3 linked regions of the Caenorhabditis elegans genome follow. The protein of the gene in region 1 interacts with the protein of each later gene in a pairwise test. Each region holds a gene or a part of one and is shown in the gene's direction. Other genes may lie near its edges.

What was found.
Region 2: the proteins of C18B2.5 (region 1) and pry-1 interact in a two-hybrid assay, tested with the Caenorhabditis elegans proteins (one study listed by BioGRID).
Region 3: the proteins of C18B2.5 (region 1) and erm-1 interact in a two-hybrid assay, tested with the Caenorhabditis elegans proteins (2 studies listed by BioGRID, with this or other methods).

What each region holds. Positions count from the first base shown.
Region 1 is NC_003284.9:3,606,274-3,612,674, reverse strand, and holds C18B2.5 (G domain-containing protein), read left to right. Parts: upstream 1-1,582; 5' UTR 1,583-1,584; coding exon 1,585-1,677; intron 1,678-1,735; coding exon 1,736-1,795; intron 1,796-1,845; coding exon 1,846-1,995; intron 1,996-2,042; coding exon 2,043-2,285; intron 2,286-2,333; coding exon 2,334-2,411; intron 2,412-2,476; coding exon 2,477-2,570; intron 2,571-2,846; coding exon 2,847-3,013; intron 3,014-3,066; coding exon 3,067-3,373; intron 3,374-4,080; coding exon 4,081-4,163; intron 4,164-4,218; coding exon 4,219-4,442; intron 4,443-4,498; coding exon 4,499-4,661; intron 4,662-4,707; coding exon 4,708-5,043; intron 5,044-5,694; coding exon 5,695-5,796; downstream 5,797-6,401.
Region 2 is NC_003279.8:14,173,338-14,181,101, reverse strand, and holds the start of pry-1 (Axin-like protein pry-1), read left to right. Parts: upstream 1-1,741; 5' UTR 1,742-1,745; coding exon 1,746-1,850; intron 1,851-2,746; coding exon 2,747-2,809; intron 2,810-2,868; coding exon 2,869-2,958; intron 2,959-3,003; coding exon 3,004-3,141; intron 3,142-3,591; exon of another isoform or gene 3,592-3,664; intron 3,665-3,906; coding exon 3,907-4,088; intron 4,089-4,135; coding exon 4,136-4,267; intron 4,268-4,889; coding exon 4,890-5,118; intron 5,119-5,841; coding exon 5,842-6,022; intron 6,023-6,942; coding exon 6,943-7,365; intron 7,366-7,528; coding exon 7,529-7,628; intron 7,629-7,764. UniProt on the Caenorhabditis elegans protein: Works in parallel with axl-1 in negatively regulating bar-1 signaling in vulval precursor cells and Q neuroblasts. Inhibits Wnt signaling, which affects tissue specific expression of Hox genes, egl-5, lin-39 and mab-5.
Region 3 is NC_003279.8:5,284,609-5,292,570, reverse strand, and holds the start of erm-1 (Moesin/ezrin/radixin homolog 1), read left to right. Parts: upstream 1-1,876; 5' UTR 1,877-1,935; coding exon 1,936-1,953; intron 1,954-2,052; coding exon 2,053-2,136; intron 2,137-2,377; coding exon 2,378-2,578; intron 2,579-4,252; coding exon 4,253-4,407; intron 4,408-4,729; coding exon 4,730-4,889; intron 4,890-4,937; coding exon 4,938-5,120; intron 5,121-5,859; coding exon 5,860-6,039; intron 6,040-6,121; coding exon 6,122-6,469; intron 6,470-7,002; coding exon 7,003-7,108; intron 7,109-7,185; coding exon 7,186-7,352; intron 7,353-7,880; coding exon 7,881-7,962.

The sequences.
Region 1 (6,401 bases):
AATAAAATAAAAAGCCATGAAAATTTTTGAATTTGTTTTTGTTCAGCACATTTTTTCATTTCAGGTCATTTTTACATTATTCGTCATCACCACGGCTTGTTAGTATTCCTTTGAAAAATTTGAAACTGAATTTATTTTCTAATAAAATTATGACCAACGAAAGCAATTGTGAAAATAACTTTTTTCCTATGGAACCGTTTTGTTTTGAAATTATAATTTATTTTAATTGAACTCAAAACTAAAAAAAATCCTGCGTTTTTTTGAAACAAAGTGCTTACTCATTGGGTACCTAAAAATTAAGAACCATGGTCTTAATTTTTTTTGTTGAGTTTTTTTTTTTTAAATAATTGTGTTCTCATGCTAGATTATTAAACACATTTTCTATCAAAAAAAAATGCGCAAATGCAAGGTATCAACTCGGGAGAATCTTATTCATTTTTCAATTGTTTTCGCTTGTATTTTTTTCCAACCTTCCTCCGCTAGACATGTATTTGATGGGTTTCACCTTTTTCTTCCAATTTCAGTTCACGTTTTTTTGTTCAGCATCTCTTTTTTCCCCTCTTTTCAAAAGTATTCAATCTTATGCAATGTTGTTCTCAATAAAAGCAATAATGTGTTCAGTCCTTTACATGCGAGCAAACAGTCCTGAAACTTAACTGGCAGAGAATTGATATGCGTGTGGTTTATCATGTTTTTTCAGGGTTCTATAACTGGAAAGAAACTTATCACAAAGAAGAAATTCCACTCTTTACATTTTCAATTTTTGAAAGAATAATGAAGCTATGTTTTCTTTTCTTTTTTTTTGAACTTTTGAACTTTCAGGTAAAACAAAAAAGTTTTCTTAAATCTATTTTGGATTCAAATCGAGGAATGCCTTGGAAACTGATTTTTTTTTCACTAAAAGATTGTATCTTAAGAACTTTCGTTCCATTTTCTAGTCAAATTAAACTGTAAACTATTATGTCCTTCAATTGGGATGTATTGTAAAATTTGACCCGTTCCAAAATTATGATGGCATCTACTCATTTTTGTAGAAATAAAACCCAACCATCTGCTAGTCTCGGCAAACAACACGCGAACTTTGTTTTTATCCCCTCTCACTCTCAGTTCAGTTCAGCGCTCTCCACCGATTTTTTATTTTGATTTAACTCGTCAATACTCTCGTTCCATTGTTACGGTTGTTAGCTGCATATACAATACGTTTTTGGCGCCTGACGCGAGAAGGTGTAATGCGTGGCACGCATTGATAAGCGACACGGTTTGACAGGAAACTTTTAAGCAGTGCTCTGCCATTTCTGTCTTTGCACTCCATTACACCGTGCAATTTGCCTTTTACCGATCTTTCGTCACGGTCAATCATCTCCGTTTTCAGCCAGGTTTTTCTGTTTCAAATATAATTTCACGGGGAGTACAATAGGAATGGTTTGTCTTTGATGATAGTTGAGCAAAGTTTGCAGAAATAATCATATTTTATATGTAGCATAAGTTTGTTTTGCTATTTTTCTTAATTCTCACTGTTTATCGTTCTCGATTTTTCCATTCCCACAATTTAACAACTCCTATTATTGTGTCTTTTGTACAGACATGTCGCGAAGCACGGCTGTCAGCATCAACTTGGATGACGTCTTTGGCAACCTTCCAGCGTTGACATCTGCCACCAACGTGAAATCTTCCGAGGTAACCAAAAATTTCGCAGAATTTTTGTATTTCCAATAAATTTTGAAAATAATTTCAGTCTGGAAATAGAAGCCGCAAGACAACTGCTTCGAGTGTATCCACTGTGAGAGAGGTTCCGGTAAGAGTTCATTATGGTATAGAGCTCATAATACTTGTAAACTTTTCCAGATTGGAAACGGAATCCGATCACATGCGACATCAACTGTGGTGTCCCATCCACCACATGCAGTATCTGCACCTCCACCACCACCAGTCAATGTCACCCCAATTTCGCATTACTACGATGCAACTCCAGTGAATGACGATTTGATGAACTCGGTAACTATATTTTTAACTGAACCACTTTTCACAACAACGTTTTAAAGGTCTTTTCCGCTGTGACACTGCCAACTGTCAACTTGCACGGAGGACATGACGATGCTCTCCGTCATCTCGACGAAGCTTTGTATGGTGAGGATCACGAGTCCATCGTCAGTGAGCCACCATTTCAAGCTCCAAGCCATGTGAGCTCGTCACATGTTACATCTCATGTTAGCTCGCACAGAAATCAGTATGCAAGCGAACATCACCCACAAAACGCAAGCGTAGTGTCAAACGGATCTGCCAAGGTAAATTTCAATTTTTAGGAACTATTCGGGTAAGTTGGTCCGTTTTAGAGGCATGCCGCTGCACGAACTGGAAGTCTCGTCGTGAACAATGTTTTCAACGATTTGAATATCAATTCTCAAAGCTATGCAAGTTATTTGCATTGTGTTGAAAATAGATTGTTTTGAATTCAAAGTAAGTTCGTAATTTTCAGCACTACGACGCCTACGGATCTGAGCCGCAGCCGGATTATGAAGACGAGAGAAGTGACCACTTCAATCTGAATCATCAATATCCAATCAGAACGGGTGAGTGTCACTTTTCAAGACGGAAATAAAAAAAATTGTAGAAGCATGTAAATAAGTTGCAACGGTCATATTTCTGCTATGAGTCAGTTATTGAGGAGTGAACAGTGGTGTAGGCTTTTGTTATGCACATTGAACATAACTAGTCATACTCTTGTCTGCTCAAAAATGTTTGACTATTTTTATACTCAAGCGGGTCGTAAGTGTATCCGAAATAGTACTAGTTAGTTTTAAAAAAAGTTGCATATAATCAATGTATGTTTAAAAAAGTTATTTTAGCACAACCACACCGTGATCGTTCCAACACCATCGATAGCTCCGCATCGTTTGCTGAAAGCCGTTTCGGACAATTCGATGTTCACGATGAGCATGACCGTTACCATGGTGAAGAAATCAACCTTCATCATGACGAAGTGGCATATGAACGCCCACGTTCTGAGCTCAGCGTGAGAAAATTATCAAAAAAATCTTCATTATCATTAATAAAGTCTTTTTACAGTCACCAGGAAGTGTGTACTCTTCCCATACCCAAGCTTCGTTCCACACTGGTGGAACCCAGAAGCTGAGAAATCTTCAACGCCAAGTTGAAGATGCTCACGCGAAAAAAGCTCAGCTCTCTCATCAAGTTGACCGTCAACGCGCTGACAATGACCGCATGACTCATGCTAATTTGGCTCGTGAAGCTTCATTGAAGGTCAACAAAATTGGACAAGGTGCGAAGCCACAAGGCTACCACGTTCGCTCGTACAGCCATGAGCACGATCATCATCATTTGCCGCCACAGCCGAAATCCAGCCATTCTTCAAGTAAGTTTTAGAGAATTTAATTAGACTTATAAACACGGTCTTAACAAACACTCAAACTTGCCAAAATAACAAGATAATCAGGCTTCATTTTTCTGAGGTCGAAGTGAGTGTACCGTAGGAGTACTGCAGGAGTACGGTAGGATTACTGTAGTTTTCGTAAAATTTGATATAGAGCTTTTGAAGAGGTTGCGGTTTGCTGACATAACCGTGATAGTTTTTTTTTTTTTGAAAGTGTAAAATTGTTTCAAATCTTTCAAAAATGTTAGAAGCTTTACAAAAGTTTGAGGCTTTCCAAAACACTTCCGAAAAGATCACAATGCTCTAGAGGAACTTGTGTAGTATACCATACCCAAAACTATTATCCAATACGCTTTCAGTCGTTTCTTTCAAAAATGATAATATAATCAAAACTTGAACTACATTTGCATTTTTAAGCTCAGGAAACACTAATCCCATGCCTAATGTAGATTTAAAAAAATCACGAACATTTTTAAAATGGTTAAAACTTTCGGGCCAGGTGTACTGCACACACTCTACAAAAGTGTATAAATTATTTAAAAGAAAAAAAACCATGCACCTGCAAAAATGTGTGGCAGTTTTCAATTTTCTGTTTGTTCAATTTTCTGAGTACAATCAACGTTTTCTGTGCGAACTTCTATGTAAAACATATTATTTAAATTTTCTATTGCGTATATCGAATATTTAAGAGAGCGTGGACTCAAGCATCTACGAAGAGGAGGAAGCTCGTGTCAGCCCACTAGCTGCTAAACAAAAGGCAGCAGGAGAACATGTAAGTCATTTATTTTTCATATGAAAATTATTTTAATATTCTTAAAAATTATTAGATTGCAAGCAGCGGAAAATACGAGCTCGTTGTTCCACAATACTATGTTGTTGAAAACTTCTCCAAGAATGACAAGATCAACAAGGTTATCATTGGAGGAGATGCTCCACCAAGTGACGATGACAAGACTCTGCTCCTGTTCGGTCCAGTTAATTCTGGAAAGACTTCTGCTATTACCAGCATGATGAACTATTTGTATGATGTTAAGAAGGAGAATGATTTCCGGTAACTTAATTTTTTAATTTTCAATGTTATAATGTTCATTATTCTTCTTTTTTCAGATTTGTTTTGGACGAGCATGTGAACGCAACCACTGGACTCACCGCCTACGTTTTCAACAACACTGTTCTTCCTTATAACGTCACTGTTGTTGACACACCCGGGGTTGAGGACAAAATGGGCAACAAGACGGTCTCGCGACTTATCAAGCAGTGGTTTGAGAAGGTGAACTATTGAAACTTTGCAAAAAATTCTAAATTTCACGTTTTAGGAGCTTCTCAAATCTGGATCCTTCCGTCTTGATGCAATCTCAATTGTTTTGAGACACGACGAGAATCAACTGGGATGGCCGTTCATTTATGAGTTGGCTGATGTTAAGAGAATGTTCGGAGACGATTTGAAAACAAACGTTCTGCCGATTATCACCAACTCTGAAGTTCTCCCACAGCCAATTGCCATCAAAAGTCTCACACAGGCCAACATTTCTTTCCTTGAATACTACAAAGTTAACAACTCGGGATTCGCACCACTCCCAACAGGAATTTCCAAACTTCAACATAATCTCTACTGGACACACGGAACAGCTTCGTTGGAGAATCTTTTCAGAGTAAATATTATGGGTTGGGGAAGTGAAATTTAAAACTGAAAATACTAGGTGTCTCAGTCTGCGTATTTAACTCGGTTTAGTTGAAAATAACTGAAAATAGTACACTTTATTTGAAAAGTAATTTTGGCTTTCAAAAATCATCTTTCAAAAATCATCACATGAAAGCAAAGAACATAAGTATAAATTGAGGCGTCTCAAGATTATTTTTCAACCCGTCCGGGATCAAATTCAATTCAAACTTATATTGAAAAACGTATGCAGAAAAAACTGTATCTGATGAAACTTTAACATATTTTGAACTCCAACTTCAGCATAATTTTAATTTATTTCATATGTATGGGAAGGCTTTCAAATATTCAAAATAGAAAACTTTCCATGAAAACTATTCCGGTTTTTATAGTAATTATGACATAAAATTTTTCAAATGTGCTTATGAACATTTAAATAATTTTTTTAAACATATTTATATATTTTTGTTTTCGGTTTAGTTCTAAGCTTTTTTCATATCAAGTTTTTAACTCATATTAACTCACTTTTCAAAATTGTATTAATAATGTTCGAATGTGAGAGATGATATTAATTTTTGCGGTTTTGATAGGTCAGCTTATTATCTATGCTTCTGAAACTACCTTATTAAATCTTTCACTTCAGGATTTGCAAGAAACTGTCCACCCACTAGTTGCCATCCTCCGACACAACAAGGGACAAAAAGTCGAACAAGCTCCAGTGTTTGCTGATAAAGTGTTGTATTAAAAAACAATTTATTATTATTAGTATTATTATTTGTGTTTTCTGATTCAATGGTTTCAATTTAATCTCCGATCCACTCATTTTGTATTTATTGTTCGACTTAACATTTTTATCCAACGCGACTCGATAAACATTCCCTATCAATCGTTTTTTTTGTTTTTCAGCTTCATTTCTTTTCGCTAAGGAACTAATATAATTTTTGGCAGAATAATATTGTTCATTGATATTTAAATCAAAAATACAAATAATATTATAGGAAATTCTAGAAATTTCGACATATCAGTTAAGAGGAACGCTATTACAAGTGTCAAGTTTTACAAATATGATTACCTAGTGTATAAAACGAATTTCAGGAAATTTTAATTTTCAAAGTGTACAGAGAAAGCCTAGATTGATAGATACTATCACTTTCAAAAGTTCCTTAAAATTCAAAGCAAATGATGATACTCATTTTAAAGTGAATTAAAATTGTGAACATAACATTCGAACTTTTTGGAGCTTAGGCCGGATAATAATGTGTTGAACTATACAGAAACAAAAAAGAAACATTTGAATACTTTGGAGTACATCTACTTTAAAAACCAGAAAAGTTTCAAATGAATTCACCA
Region 2 (7,764 bases), on another chromosome or scaffold:
TTTTCCTTTTTAGACCATCTTTGGGACTATAATATTTGCTTTGAAAACTGGAAAATTATATGAAAAATCCAGTTTTTAAATTTATTTTAGGCTCAGTTTAGGCCAAACTATTTTAGGTCTTTTTTAGGCGTAAAAATTTGAAAATTTTTAGACTCGGTTTAGGTCAAACCATTTCATGGCCAAATTTCGGCTTGAAATCTAAAAAAAATTACGGTAAAATCTTATTTTTTGAAATGTTTGAAAACTCAAAATATTCCAAGAAAAAAAAAACTAGTTTTACAACATTTTTCTGGGTTTTCTTAAAATCCTTGTTGGGCTAAGAAATTTTAAACTAAGAAATTTTGCTGAAATCTTAAAAAAATTGTGTTGTTTGAGGTTTACTGGCCAAATTTTAGACTTTTTTTTTAATGGCGATAATTTCAAAAAAATCAAGTTTTTACAGCGTCACATTTTTTAAACATTTTTTAAGCTTAAACTATGAGATAGCAAAAAATTGTCTACTAACAAAATAATTACCGTAAAATTTCCTACATTTTATTAATAGCCAACTTTTCGATTGCTTCAGGCTCCACAGAGTTATAACGGTTTGAACTCAAGAGGCGCTAGGCTCCTTTTAACTTCAAACCTCTATAACTCTACAAATAAAAAAGCTAGCAAAAAATTGTTAACTATCAAAATAATTATCATAAACTTTCCTACATTTTATTTATTGGAAACTTTTTGATACCGTCATTTTCTGCAGAATTACAGGATTTTGAACTTGACCTCTACGCCTCCCTTGGCCCCCAGTTTTAACTTAAACCCCTATAACTCTGCACACAATGGTGCTAGCAAAACATTTGAACTGACAAAATAATTGCTATAAAACGTCCTACAATATGCTAGTTAACAACTTTTTGATGGCATCAGTCTCCGCAGAGTTACAGCTATTTGAACTTGACCTCTAAGCCTCCCTTGGCCCCCAGTTCCAACCTAAAAGCTCCATAACTCCGCAGAGAGCAGAGCTAGCAAAAAGTTGTCAACTAACAAAATAATCTACGTACAATTTTCTACATATATTCAATTTAAATTTTTCTGCTAGACCAACTTACCAGCAAGATCAACGCCCCTAAAGTTAGGGGCCCCTCCCGGTAGCCGGTCGAGCGTCCCCAGTAAACTCTTCCGGGGGCACCCGAAACAATGTTCACTCATCAATCGTTGTCATCTTTCTGGAGACATGTGTCTTATCTGTGTGTGTGTACTACTACTCTTCCCAATACACCCCATTACTCTCCGTCACTATCTCTGCGTCTCTCACCCCCGCCACTCTCTCGCTCTCGCCCATTCATTGAGTAAGCGAGGGGCCTCATTCCTTGATTATCAGCCACTGATAGGAACAATAAGACACCCATAGTTGTTCCATTTTTGCAATTAGAGAGGGAATAGTGACGCTTATAATATATTGTATATCCTATATCTTATCACAGTTTTTTTTTTTTTTTTTTGTGTATAGTTTTGGCCTATTTTATAGGTTTTGAGGGGGTCAAACTGCTAAGTTTAAATAAAATTTGTTTAATTTTCAGTAAAAGCGTCATTAGAAAAGTTTTGAACAAAAAATTGAAAAAAAAAATTTTGGCAAAAAAATTATTTTTTTAAAATTTTTTCAAAAAAAAATTTCCCTCGATTTTTCAAGTTTTTCTCTACTTTTTTTTTTGAATATTCTCTTATTTCAACATAATCATAAAATTCACCTCCTTTTCAGGTGCATGGAGACCCATCTCGGTTGGGCGCGAAGCCTGGAGGCCGTTCTATCCGATCGATCGGCACTCGACGCGTTTCAGGAATGGCTTATTGAGTACTCCTCGCCTCAGGTAACTTTTTTTTTGGGATTTTTCTGCGAAATTTGGATTTAGCTTGCCGAGAGCTTCAAAATAAGTATAATCATGACATTTTTACGATGATTTTGAAAATTTTTAGGTTTTGGCGCAAAATTTTTAGATTTTCTTTTGCTGCGGGACCCAAAGTTCCAATATTTGAAATTTTTACTTGTTTTCGGATGTAGCTTGTCAAGAGCTTCAAGATGAGTATAATTATGCCTAGGTTACTTCAAACTTGAAAGAATCTGGGTCTCACCGCGAAGGTTATTACTGTAGTCCCAAATTTTCGTGGCGAGACCCTAATTTTTCAACCTTTGCGGAACCTGGACATCATTATACTTATCTAAAAGCTGACAGCGAGCTGACTTCGAATTTTATAGTTTTGCAGGCGAAATCATAATTTTGTGAGAATTTTGACCAGTTACAAGGAAAGTCTGCGATTTCACGTTTTTTCGAAAATTTTTTGCGAAAATTTCAACTTTTTTTAATTTTCGAGATAAATTTCTCATAATTTAATCAATCTTTTCATGCGCTTTTGGAAAAGCATAATCATGACCACGTTTCGCAAAACGTTGGGTCCCACCACGCAACCCATGGGGTTCTGTAGTTGTTTGTCGTTGTGGGACCCCATAAAAATTAAATTTATTGAAATTCATACACAGCATCCTGAGAGCTTTGAAATAAGTATAATAGTCTAGGTTCCGTCAAAAAAAAGTTGGGTCTCACCACGAAATCTACTACTGTGGCCCCACATTTTCGTGGCGAGACCCAATTTTTTCAAACTTGACGGAACTCATGCATGATTATACTTATTTCAAAGCTCTCAGCAAGCTAAATTCAAATATTGACTTTAAATTTCCGAATTCTCTAAAAAAATAAGAAATTTTCAGTACCTCGACTTGTTCTTCGCAATCCGAGCATACGAACGAATGGCGTTGGAGGGAAAACCGGAGGTATTGATTTTTTTGCAACTTTTTTGGCAAATCGGGCAATATTTATCTATTTTTTTTAGAAATCCCAACTTTCCAAGTCAATATACTCGAAATTTTTGTCCTCTCGGACCGGAAACTGCGAAGCAATTCCCAAGCATTTTAGGGCTCCGGTAAGCTTTTCTTAAAATTTTTTAAAATCAAAAATTAATTTTTGGATTGGTGAAAAACTACGTCATGGCACCGAATTAGAGGATCGGGTATTCAGTCATTGTTCGAATTTTGTTCAAGAATTTTTAAGACGCCAACACGAGGAGTTTGTGGGCTCCGAAGAGTTTATTGAGGCTTTTAATAAGGTAAATTGTTTTTTTTTTTAATTGTGAAAATTTGAATTTAGCTCACTGAGAGCTTTAAAATAAGTATAATCATGCCTAAGTTCCGTCAAATTTGATAGAAGTTGGGTCTCACCACGAAAACCTACAGTAACCCAGGATTTTCTTGGCGAGACCGAGGTTGTTTGGAAAATTTACAGAATTTGCGAAACCTATGCATTCTTAATGTAATATCGGCGGTCTCAGTTCAGATTTTCAGAATTTTGGCGAAAATTTTAGGGTTTTCCAACAATTGGGTCCTACGACGAAATTTTTCCGGTGCCTAACTTTTTGAATTTTGATTCTTTGCAATTTTTATTTACAAAATTAAACTCAATTGACTGAAAGCTTCAAAATAAGTATAATCATGCTTAGGTTCCGTTAAGTTTGAGAAAAGTTGGGTCTCGCCACGAAATGTATTACTGTAGCCCCAAATTTTCGTGGCGGGACCCAACTTTTGTCAAATTCAACCAAACCTAGGCATGATTATACTTATTTGAAAGCTCTTTCTAAGCTAAATTGAATTTTTATAGTCACAGTGTGAAAAATTTGAAAACCGAGAAGTTGGGTCCCACCACGAAAGGGTTACTGTAGGTTTTCGTGGCGAGACCCAATTCTAATAGAACCCAGACATGATTATACTTATTCGAAAGCTATTTTTAAGCTGAATTTGAATTTTAGCATTTTACGTATCTTATCGCAATTCTGAAAAAAATTTCCAATCCCAAAAACTAAAAACCCCAATTCCAGATGTCATCTACCACCGCCGACCAGCTCCCGGGAGGCTCCGCCCACCATTCATCACACCAAAACACCATGAGAAGGTCGTCAGGCACTACCTCCCGTAAAAGTGCCGCACAAATCGCCACCCAGCTCACAGCTGAGGCCCTCCTAAAATCGAAACACGACAGGCACAGCAAACTTGGAGAAACGTAAGTCGCCTACCTACCCTACCTATTTAAATTTGAATTTTTTTTAGAAAACTTGAGAAAATGTACCCACCGACACGTCAACCATACGTATGCAACGCCACTACCTCACACAACGACTCGGCTGTCAGCTCGACGTTTTCTGGGGACACGCCCGAAGCCCATAGGATGCATAGTAATAGGTAGGTGATTTTGGTTAATGTATTTGAATTAAGCTTGTTGAGAGCTTTTAAATAAGTATAATTATGCCTAGGTTCCGATAAAATTGGGTCCCGGCACGAAAATCTACACTAACCTTTTCGTCGTGAGACCCTACTTGGCAGTTTTCAGATTTTTTACTTTTAAATTGTGATAGCTGAGCTCAACTTACCAAGAGTTTCAAAACAAGCATAAACATGCCCAGGTTCCGTTAAAATTGGGTCCCGCCACGAAAACCCCGAGTTACTGTTGGTAGGTTTTCGTGGCGAGACCCAAATTTTTTCAAACTTAACTGAACCTAGGCATTATTATACTTGTTAGAAAGCTCGTTACAAGCTGAACTTTAATTTCAAATTTTTAGGGTTCAATAAATTATTTCTGAAAAAAATCGCGACGAGACCCAAATTAAGCTTATTTTTTTGAAAATTGTATTTTTTTGAAAACCTTAAATTTTAGTGTTGAGAGCTATTACTACAAAAAAACCAAAAGTTTTCGCGGTAAGACCCTAAAATTTTGAAAATTTTCAGGCCATGGCATGATTATACTTATTTTGAAGCTCTCAGTGAGCTTATATCAAATTTTTATCTAAAAGTGTCTAATTTCCAGACTCCGCCATATCCGAGACGAACAAGCCCGCGAGAATCACGGTACCATGACACTGCCACGTGTCGAAAAAGCCAGCGTCGATGGTCAGCAATGGGATCATTCTTCTGAATCAGGAAGAAGAAATTTTGCAATGGAAATCACCAGAAAACTGCTTAGGCATATTGATAAGGTTAAGCTAAATGATGAGATGGAGAAGAGGATTGACGATATCGAAGAGTGTCGGTATACGGTAGGTTTTTCAGTTTCGAGTTTTAGGCTTTGAATTTGTAAAATTTGAAATCAGCACGCCGAGAGCTTCAAAATATGTATAATCATGACTAGGTTTCGCCAAGTTTGAAAAATTTTGGGTCCCACCACGAAAATGTGGGGTTACAGTAATACCTTTCGTGGTGGGACCCACATTTTTTAAAACTTGACGGAACCTAGGCATGATTATACTTATTTTGAAGCTCTCAACAAGCTGAGTTTGAATTTGTAATTTTTAAAGTGAAATTCAAAGAATTTTAGGGTCCCACCACGAAATCGTACTTCGCGGCAGGACCCAACTTTCTTCAATTTTGCAATTTTGCTTGGAAACTTATAAATTGGAGCTAACTTTGCTCATAGCTTCAAAATAAGTATAAACATGTCTAGGATCCGTTTTATTTAAATATTCCTGGTTTAAGCGTACAGTAACCCTAGATTTTCGTGGCGAGACCCACTATTTTTCAAATTCAACTAAACTTGAGCATGATTATACTTATTTTGAAGCTCTTTACAAGCTGAGCATGTTTTTTTAGTTATCTAGTCACCACTGCAAAATTTGGATTTTTTGGGTCCCACCACGACTACAGTAACCCTGGATTTTCGTGGCGAGACCCATTATTTTTTGAATTCAACTGAAATAGGGCATGTTTATACTTATTTTAAAGCTCTTATCAAGCTGACTTCAATTTTCAAATTAATTTTTCAGACAATCGACATGGTAAACGGCACGGAGCCCAACGACGATCTGGGGAAAATCGATGAGGACGAGGAGTTGGATGATTATCTGAAAATGAAAATGACAGATGATTCCCAAAAAGGATCAACAAATCGATCACCTAAAGGCCCAGCAGGAGAGCCCAACAAATCTGGAGAAGGATCGAAAAATAGTGAGTTCCCATGCTCCGGTACCATATGTCGGGTTATTCTCATGAAGGGATTAATATTACTAATAGGTGTTAGAATTGGAATAGCTGTTAGTAAACATCTTAATGACAAAAATATTTGTCAGGGAACGTTTTTTTTTAGTTCGAATCTATGAAAATTAAAAATAAAAAAATTTTTGAAATTTTTTTTGAGCAAAAACTTTTTTCTCCAAAATTAATAAATTTAATTATTGAAATTATTAAAATCACGTCTGCCTCATTGAGAGCTTCAAAATAAGTACCAACATGCCTAGGTTTTCTTGATTTTGGGTTCCGCCACGAAAATGGGTGTTGTAGCTTTTCGTGGTGAGAACCAACAACTACAAAATGACATTTTTGCTTTAAAACTACAAAATGCAAGCTCAGCTCACCTAGAGCTTCAAAATAGGTATAATCATGGCTAGGTTCGGTGAAATTTGAAAATTGTTGGGTCTCGTCACGAAATGTATTACTGTAGCCCCAAATTTTCGTGCCGAGACCCAAAAATCTTCTAATTTGACGAAACCTAGGCATGTTTATACTCGTTTTAAAGCTCTTGACGAGCTGAAAAAAAAAATTACTAAAACTGTAAAAGTTTTAAATTTTAAATATCTTTCGTGGTAAGACCCAAATTTCTGAAATTTCAAAAAAAAATCCAGTATTTTTATATTTCCAGTCAATTTTCAAACTCAGCTCGTTCAGAGCTTCAAAATAAGTATAATCATGCCTAGGTTTGGTGAAATTTGGAAATTTTTGGGTCTCACCACGAAAGTTATTACTGTAGCCCCAAATTTTCGTGGCGGGACCCAACTTTTTTCAAACTAGACGGAACCTAAGCATGTTTATACGTATTTTGAAGCTCTTCATGAGCTGAATTCAAATTTCCAATTTATAATATTTTCCAGCCACCCTCTCCCCAACCAATCGTGCTCCCGCTCAGCTCCACAACACAATTCGGGTCCCGAGACGAAAAGATTACCCCCGGGACACCTCGGCTTCTCTAAAATCTCATCGTCACCATCAAATCGACACAAATCGAATGATGAGCCAATCAATGTGCGCTCCATCGTACTCCTCAGCCAGCTCCTCCTACAGTAGGGACTCCTTCGCGCCGGCGCCCACTACCAGGGTGAATTTTGCTCCGGGGAGCAGCAAATCGAGTCAATTCTATGATTCTTCGGGAATTGGGTCTATGGCACCGTCGGCGTTCTCCGCCACTTCGTCACTGGATTATAAGGATCGGAGGCAGCACAGAAAGGCTCCAACGCCTAAGAAGCACTCGAAAATTGGGAAAAATTTGTCGAATTTGATAACTATTAGCTATTTAGGTAAGGTTTCATTTTTTTATACAAAAAAAAGTGAAAAAAAAAATTTTACAAATTTTTTTTTGAAAATTTTTTTGAACTTTTTTTTCAGATTTTCTATGTTTCTAGGGTAGATTTTACCCTAAATTTTATATTTTCTAACATTTTAACTCAAATTTTTTTCCAGGAACCGATAAAATCCCTGTGGTAACACATGTCCCTAACGATGGACCAATGACGTTGGCGGAGTTCAAGAGGCACTTTGCTCTGCCAAATGGAGCACATCAGTGAGTTTTTTTTTGGGTTTAAACTGGGAAAATATTGATTTTAGGTTGATTTGGAAGTTTTTGGAAAATTTTGAAAAAAAAAATTTTTGCTCAAAAATATTTTTTTTTGGAAAAACAAATTTCCAAAAATTTTCAA
Region 3 (7,962 bases), on another chromosome or scaffold:
CGAATTGTCTCGAACTTCTTGGAATTTTTTCCGTACTGTTCTAATACGGTATCCAGCTGAAAATTTAAGCCAGTTTGTGTGCTTTATTGGCTTTTTCCATCAAATTTTTTGTTGTCATGTTATCTCAACATTTTTCAAAATTAGTGTTAAAATATCGAAAAATTACTTGATTCGTCTGAAAATAAACTTCAATTTAGCTAAAACATTTAAGAAAGCTTTTAAAAATGGCCTGAAAATTGCCAGTATCCGATTATCGAATTATCAGATTTTTTGTCTAACAATTTGCAACTTTCCCACCGATTTTGAGCATTTCTTCAAATGTTTCAGCTAAAAATATGTTTCATTTCCAGATAAATCGAGTGATTTTCGATATTTTGACACTAATTTTTAGTGAAAAACGTTGGAACAACATAGCCCAATAATTTTGTAGAATTGCCGGAAATAATAGCCCTGTACCTGTAAATCAAAATCAATATTCCCACCTGTGACACATATTTTTCTGAATAATTTTTTGATTCATGAAACTTTTTCTTTAAAATAATTAAAGCATTAAAAAAAACTCAAACTCGCCAAAACTCCCAAGAAACTGTCCAGGCACCCGAGAATCGCGCCAACGCCCTGCTGGCGCGATTCTCGTGCAGTGGCAAATCGCAGAACGCGCCAAAAACGGATCCGAACGGGTTTGAATCAGACGATGACTCATTTTTTATTGTTTTTCGAGTTTTATTGATTTTTTTTAATCGCCAAATGTATAAATCCCCCTAAAATATACACAATTTTCCATGTGTCACTTTGAATTTTCGGATAAATGATTGAAAAATTAGATTTCTCTATTCAAAATTTAAAATTCATAACCTTGAACTCATTTGTTTCGTTTTCTTCGCTCCGTTTTCTGATTTCTCATGAATTTTTGAAATCTCTGTTCATTCGAATTCTATTTTCACATCTTATTTTACTTTCTTGCAGAAAAAAGTGACGAAGATTTTCGGTGGAAAAGTTTCGTGAATTCTCACCGCTCACCCCAATCCATCTTCGACTCGGACATCAAAAAGAGCTAAAATAATGTCGAAAAAAGCGGTAAGTTTGAAAAATGTAGCTTCAAATAATTTAAAACTTTTACGGCCAAATAAAAAAAAACACTGTTTAAATTTGCGATTTTCTTATTTCTTTCGGAAAAAATGCCGCCATTAATTAAAAACAAATGGAAAAAATTTGAAACTGTGAAATGTTGAATATTTCGGAAATTATGTTCTGTTCAGCACGACTTCTGCCGATTTTTTTAAAAAATAAGAATCTATCGATCTAAAAATATACTCTGTATTTTATTTTTCACTTATAAGACTATAAAGAGGCATATTTCTGCAAAATGGACTCATTTTTGAGGTTTTGTTGAAATTTTCGAAAATAGAGGGTTTCAATACCATTTTGCATAAATGCGCCTCTTTTTAAACATATAAGTGGGAAATAAAATACAAAACATATATTTTTTACAAAATTAATTTAAAAAATTTTAGAAAACAATTCAGATTTTTACGCTTACGAAGTAGAGCCGCGAACAATTTTGAACTCGAAATAAACTCAAAATTGATGATATTTGAAATATCATTTCATTCTTTTTTTTTCTGCCGAAACTTCTATGAAGAAATGCGCACATGTATGTGTGCAAACCGACAAATAGGCGGAGCCTGTACAAAAACGGGCGGTCTATAGTTCTTCTCACTCCGTTTTTGTGCTGTATACAGGGAGAGAGAGTGACAACTCATATCATTTAGTTTTAGATAAGAATTTTAAATTCTCAAGTTTCACTCTTTTTTTTATTTTGAATTTCTGATTTTCATGCAAGATTTCTTATATCATTTTACTGAAAAATTTTAAGCTAACCTCTTCATATCAATTGGTCCAGCAGTTCAAACTTGTGGAACACAAAATAGAAAAATGGTTGCGGCCGGCGATGTAAATTGTTAATTGAAAAAATTTTTTTTAGAAATTTAAGAAAAAATATAACGAAAAATCGATTTTATTTTTGCCTAATCCAACTATTTCTTGTTTCAGATCAATGTGCGTGTCACCTCGATGGACTCGGAGCTCGAGTTCGCTATTCAGTCGAGCACCACAGGAAAGCAACTTTTTGATCAGGTTAGATGATTTTGTTTTATTATATTTAAAAAGTACTTTTTTTATTAAATTGGAGAATGGATAAATTTTAATAATTCAAAAAAAAAATCAGAATTTTCTGAAACATTAAATTTTCACTAACCATTAGAAATTTTAAATCAAAACGATTTAAATTTGAAAAAAATAATCCAAAATTTCCAGCTCTTGAAATTGAGTTTCGAATTTTCCAGCAATATTAATTCCTTCATTTTAATTTTTGCAGGTTGTCAAAACCATTGGTCTCCGCGAGATCTGGTATTTTGGACTTCAGTACACTGACAACAAGGGATTCCCAACATGGCTGAAATTGAACAAGAAAGTCTTGTCTCAGGACGTTAAGAAGGACCCGACTCTTGTTTTCAAATTCCGCGCCAAATTCTATCCGGAAGATGTGGCCGAGGAGATTATCCAGGATGTCACTATGGTATGTTTGACACCTTTTTTTAAATATTTAATTTTTTGGAAAAAAAAAACTGTAAATTTTCCATTACCTCTGGCCAATATTTGATTTTTAGTTGTAATTCTCACTTTTCGCTTTTCTGACATTCTCTGGCGACTCTCTTGATTTCCTGTGCTATTTCTGATTTGTAACTGATAAGTAGAGAATGCCCGTGCCATTTATGCATGTAATGCAATGTTGGCAAGCAATAGGAAATAACTTTGGAGTATATTCAAGAATAGAAAAAAAGGGGAAAATTTTGGTAAGGAATACATTTCTGTGGTTTTAGAGTACCTTCTTACAAGCTGGCCTGCTTAAAAAGACCCCAAAACGACCAAATTTCAAAATGAAATTTCTCAAAAAATGCCCGAAAATGAATTAAAGCAGTGAAAATTCTGAAAAAAATCCGATATTTTTTCTGTTAAAAAAATCCGATATTTTTGCTAAAATTAGAATAAAGTTTTTTATGCCAGTGATAATTCAATAAAATGGCATTCCGATTTAGGAAAATTTGGCTCTTTTTTGAGAATTTTGGCTCGCTATAAAGAATTTTTGAATTTTTTAAACCAGTTTTATTTGAGCAAAAAAAACTCTTCTGCTCAAAAATTTCCACGGCTCATGTGCTCACAAGGTCCTCAATAAACTGCCTAAAAACAAAATATTTTGATGGTGACAAGTGTAAACATGGGCATTTTCTCCCTTCCGTTTCAAAAAAAGGTTCTCCCATTGAGAGTGTGGTTTCCGATTACCTCCGAGCCACTTTTTTGTCTCACACAAAAAGAGATTGTTTAATGGTTTGTAAACATCGATGGGAAGACACTGTGTGTGCGAGACTCTTTTTTTGAGAGGAGAAATGAGCATCCTATTAGAACCTCCGACTGCGAACAGGAAATCTCTGATCTGGGTGGTCTGTTTTGTTTGAATAGGATCACAAGATCAGTTGAAGATTTCAGTAGAATAGCTATTTAGTACCTATATGCAAATTGATTTAGTACCTATATGCAAATTTAGATCAGTTGTTAAAATTAATGTAAAAATTTCTTTTTTTTTTAAATATAGAAAAATACTTTTATTTCTATGAAAATAACATTTTTCAGTTGAAACATTTGAGAAAATGCACAAAAATGGTCTGAAAGTTTCTAATTCACAAAAAAACCTTTTTTGAGCACTTTCTCAAATGATTCAAAAATATAAATATCACTTCCGGTTAAGTAAATTGATTTTTTCTCTTTTTTTTAGATTTCCAATAATATTTCGCATTTGAATTTGAATAGATAGACTGACTTAAATTCTGTTCCGATGACTCATATCAATGGAAACAATGAAAAAACTCTCAGTTTGTTGCTGTCTCTTTGCTCTTTTTATATTCATGTTCATAACTGACATAAAGAGGAAGAGGAGAATGGCATGTGTGAATAATCAAAAAATGATTCAAAACGATAAATATGAGGGGAAGAGAATATAAATTGAACTTTTTGCAAAATTTGCAGAATTTTTTGTTTGGAAGAGGGAACAATTGGGTTTCAGAATCATTAGTTGAAAATGGAGTATGGTTTTTTAAAATGTCAGAAAACAATCTCAATGTACAGAACATACAGTTAAAAAATTATGAAGTTTTTTAACTGAAATTAAGCCTTAATTAAATGAAAATATTTTCAGCGTTTGTTCTATCTCCAAGTGAAAGATGGAATTCTGTCAGATGAGATTTATTGTCCACCGGAAACCTCTGTTCTTCTTGCCTCTTACGCGATGCAAGCTAAATATGGAGACTATGTTCCAGAGACACATGTCGCCGGATGTCTTACTGCTGATCGGTGAGTTTTTCTTGAAATTAGCTTTTAAAAAAATTATTAATAACTATTAAAAAATATCTTTGCGGTTCAAAATTCCAATCAAGATTACTAAAATAAGAAAAATAATAATTTTCTGCGATAATTCATTTTTAATTATGTAGTGAAATTTCACAGTATCACAGTACTCATACAATTCATAATTATCACATGAAAATGAGATTAGAATAAAGAAGGGAAAGTTCCAGATCTAGATGATCAATAAAAAAGTATATAATAAGAAGTAGTTAAAAAAAAGTAAACTTTTTATATTAAATGCCAAAAATAATTAATTATTTCATTCCAGTCTGCTTCCTCAACGCGTTCTCGGACAATTCAAATTGAACAGTGAGGAATGGGAACGCCGTATTATGACATGGTGGGCAGATCATCGTGCAACTACACGTGAACAAGCTATGCTTGAATATTTGAAAATTGCACAAGATCTCGAGATGTATGGAGTCAATGTACTGTTTCTCATTTTTCTGTCGAGTTTTAAAAAAAGCTAATTTCAGTACTTTGAAATCCGCAACAAAAAGGGAACTGATCTCTATCTTGGTGTCGATGCTCTTGGATTGAATATTTACGATAAAGCTGATCGTCTTTCGCCGAAAGTCGGATTCCCATGGTCGGAGATTCGTAATATATCATTCAACGACAAGAAATTTGTCATCAAACCAATTGATAAGAAGGCTCATGTAAGTGATTACTGTCACACACAGTTTGTCGTGGCATCAAGCTTCTATTTGTTGGCAAAATTTCTGCGGAAAAAACGGAAAAATTGTGTGATAGTAGTTGGAAGTGGTGGTGATAAGAAGCAATCGATGGAACATTGAATTTTGATTTAAAATTTTTTTGTTGGTTTTTCTTATTTTTGGGGTGTGAAAATATCACAATCATTGACCAGATGCGGAATGTTGCGATTTTGAGGCAAAAGTATGGTGCCCGGTCTCGGTCTCGACACGACCGAATAAATTTATTTACCAAAATGGTGTGCACCTTTAAAAAGTAGAGTAGCTCCAGGCCTTTCTGATTTCCAACTTCGTTAGATTTTTCTAGTTTATTAATTAATAAAAATTAGTTTCACTAACAAAAGTAAAATAAAAGGTTTTTACAATAAAAATATTTAGAAAAAATCTATGAAAATTTCAAATCAGCTCAACGGTAACTACTGTACTTTTTAAATGCGCACATCCTTTTTCATTTAAATTTATTCGATCGCCTCGATATCGAGTAATGTGTTTTTGTATCAAAAATCGCAAATTTCGAGATGGATGGAACATTTTGTGGAAATTGAGTTTGTTGTAATTTTTCTGAACATTTTTTCCCCGATTTTTTGATTTTAGAAAAATCGAAAAAAAATTCTTATTTTCGCTGAAAAAAAAATCGAAAAAATGTTTTTCATTATTCGTCTTCATTTTTATCATTAATTTTCAGGACTTTGTCTTCTACGCTCCACGACTCCGTATCAACAAACGTATTCTTGCTTTGTGTATGGGAAATCACGAGCTTTACATGCGTAGAAGAAAGCCAGATACCATTGAAGTTCAACAAATGAAGCAACAAGCCAGAGAGGATCGTGCTCTTAAGATTGCCGAGCAGGAGAAGCTCACCAGAGTAAGTTGCGGAAATTTTTGAAACATGTTTTTACAAATAATTTCTAAAAAAACTTTCACTCAAATCTGTTTTGATCGTACAGGAGATGTCTGCTCGCGAAGAAGCCGAACAGCGTCAACGTGACGCCGAAAAGCGTATGGCTCAAATGCAGGAAGATATGGAGAGAGCTCGTCTTGAATTGGCTGAAGCACACAATACAATTCACTCATTGGAGGCTCAACTCAAGCAATTGCAATTGGCTAAACAAGCATTGGAACAGAAGGAATACGAACTTCGTGAGCTCACTGCTCAACTTCAATCCGAAAAAGCAATGAGTGATGGTGAGAGACGTCATTTGAGAGACCAAGTTGATGCTCGTGAACGTGAAGTTTTTTCGATGAGAGAAGAAGTCGAGAGACAGACTACTGTTACAAGACAACTTCAGACACAGGTATTTTTTATTTTTGAAACTAAAATAGAAACAAAAAATTCTCTTTAAAAAAATTATTTTAAATACCGTATTAACAATTATCGAGCAGTAATTTTCAGTCTGAAATTACTGTTTTAAAATTTTAAAATGAAAAAAAGTATGCAGTAATTCCTGAAATTAGTTGATTACTGTAACAAAAAAGCTTAATTTAAAAAAAAAATTTGCAACAATAAAAGAGATACAAAAAGAAAAAACTAAAAAAAATTGTGAAAGAATAAAAAATCCGATCTTTAAAAGCGAGATTTTTTAATTGTACGCAGTGATGTTGCAACAAAAATTTCGGCCAAAAAACAAACAAATTTTGTTTAAAATTTCTCCAAAAAACCAACAAAAAAAAACAAAAATGTTCATTTTTCGTCATACCAACTAAAACATAAAATTTTTGATAAACATTTTTTTAAATGTTTTCTTGTCCGAAAAAACCAAAAAAAACGGAATCCCTGATTGTAACTCTGGATTTATTTTATTTCAAAATTATTTTTTCTTAAATTCAGATTCACTCGCAACAACACACTCAACACTACTCAAACAGTCATCACGTTTCCAATGGACACGCTCACGATGAGACTGCCACTGATGATGAAGATAATGGAGCAACTGGTATGCCTTTTTTATTTATTTAAAATAATTGGGAGAGATTATGAGAAAAAATATCATCTTCAAATTTTATCTTCCAGAACTCACAAATGACGCTGATCAGAATGTGCCACAACACGAGTTGGAGCGTGTCACAGCAGCCGAGAAGAACATTCAGATCAAGAATAAGCTGGATATGTTGACTCGCGAGCTTGACAGTGTTAAAGATCAGAACGCTGTCACTGACTACGACGTTCTGCATATGGAGGTTCGTATTTTAAAAAAACTCGTTTTAATGGATGGTTTTAGAGAATTTAGCATTCAAAATTTACAGTAATTTTCTAGAACCTGCATTTTTTTCATAAATTCAAGTTTTAAAAAATATTTCCGGACTGCGATCAAAATACAATTTTTTAAAAATTAAATTTGGAAAAAAACAGAAGAACGCAAAAATCTTTAAAAAATATCGAGTTCCGGATTATTTTAAAATAAAAAAAATCATTAAAAATCATTAAAAAGCCATTAAAAACAAATTTTGCTTAAAAATAATTTTATGATATTAAAATTGTTTGAAGTACAGAAATTGAGTTTTTTCGGTGTTTTCTGTTTGCAGACAAACCGAAAACATTTCTGAAAACATTCCAAACTCGGTATTTCCTTTACGGAAACAAGCAACATAAATTTTACTTATTTTTGAACAAGTTTGACCCTAAATTTTTTAGATTTTTTGAGCGAAACCGAAATATCGAAAAACCGAAAAACCTGCCGGCCCGATTCCAAATTTTTAAATTTTCAGAACAAAAAGGCCGGACGCGACAAGTACAAGACTCTCCGTCAAATCCGTGGAGGAAACACAAAACGAAGAATCGATCAATACG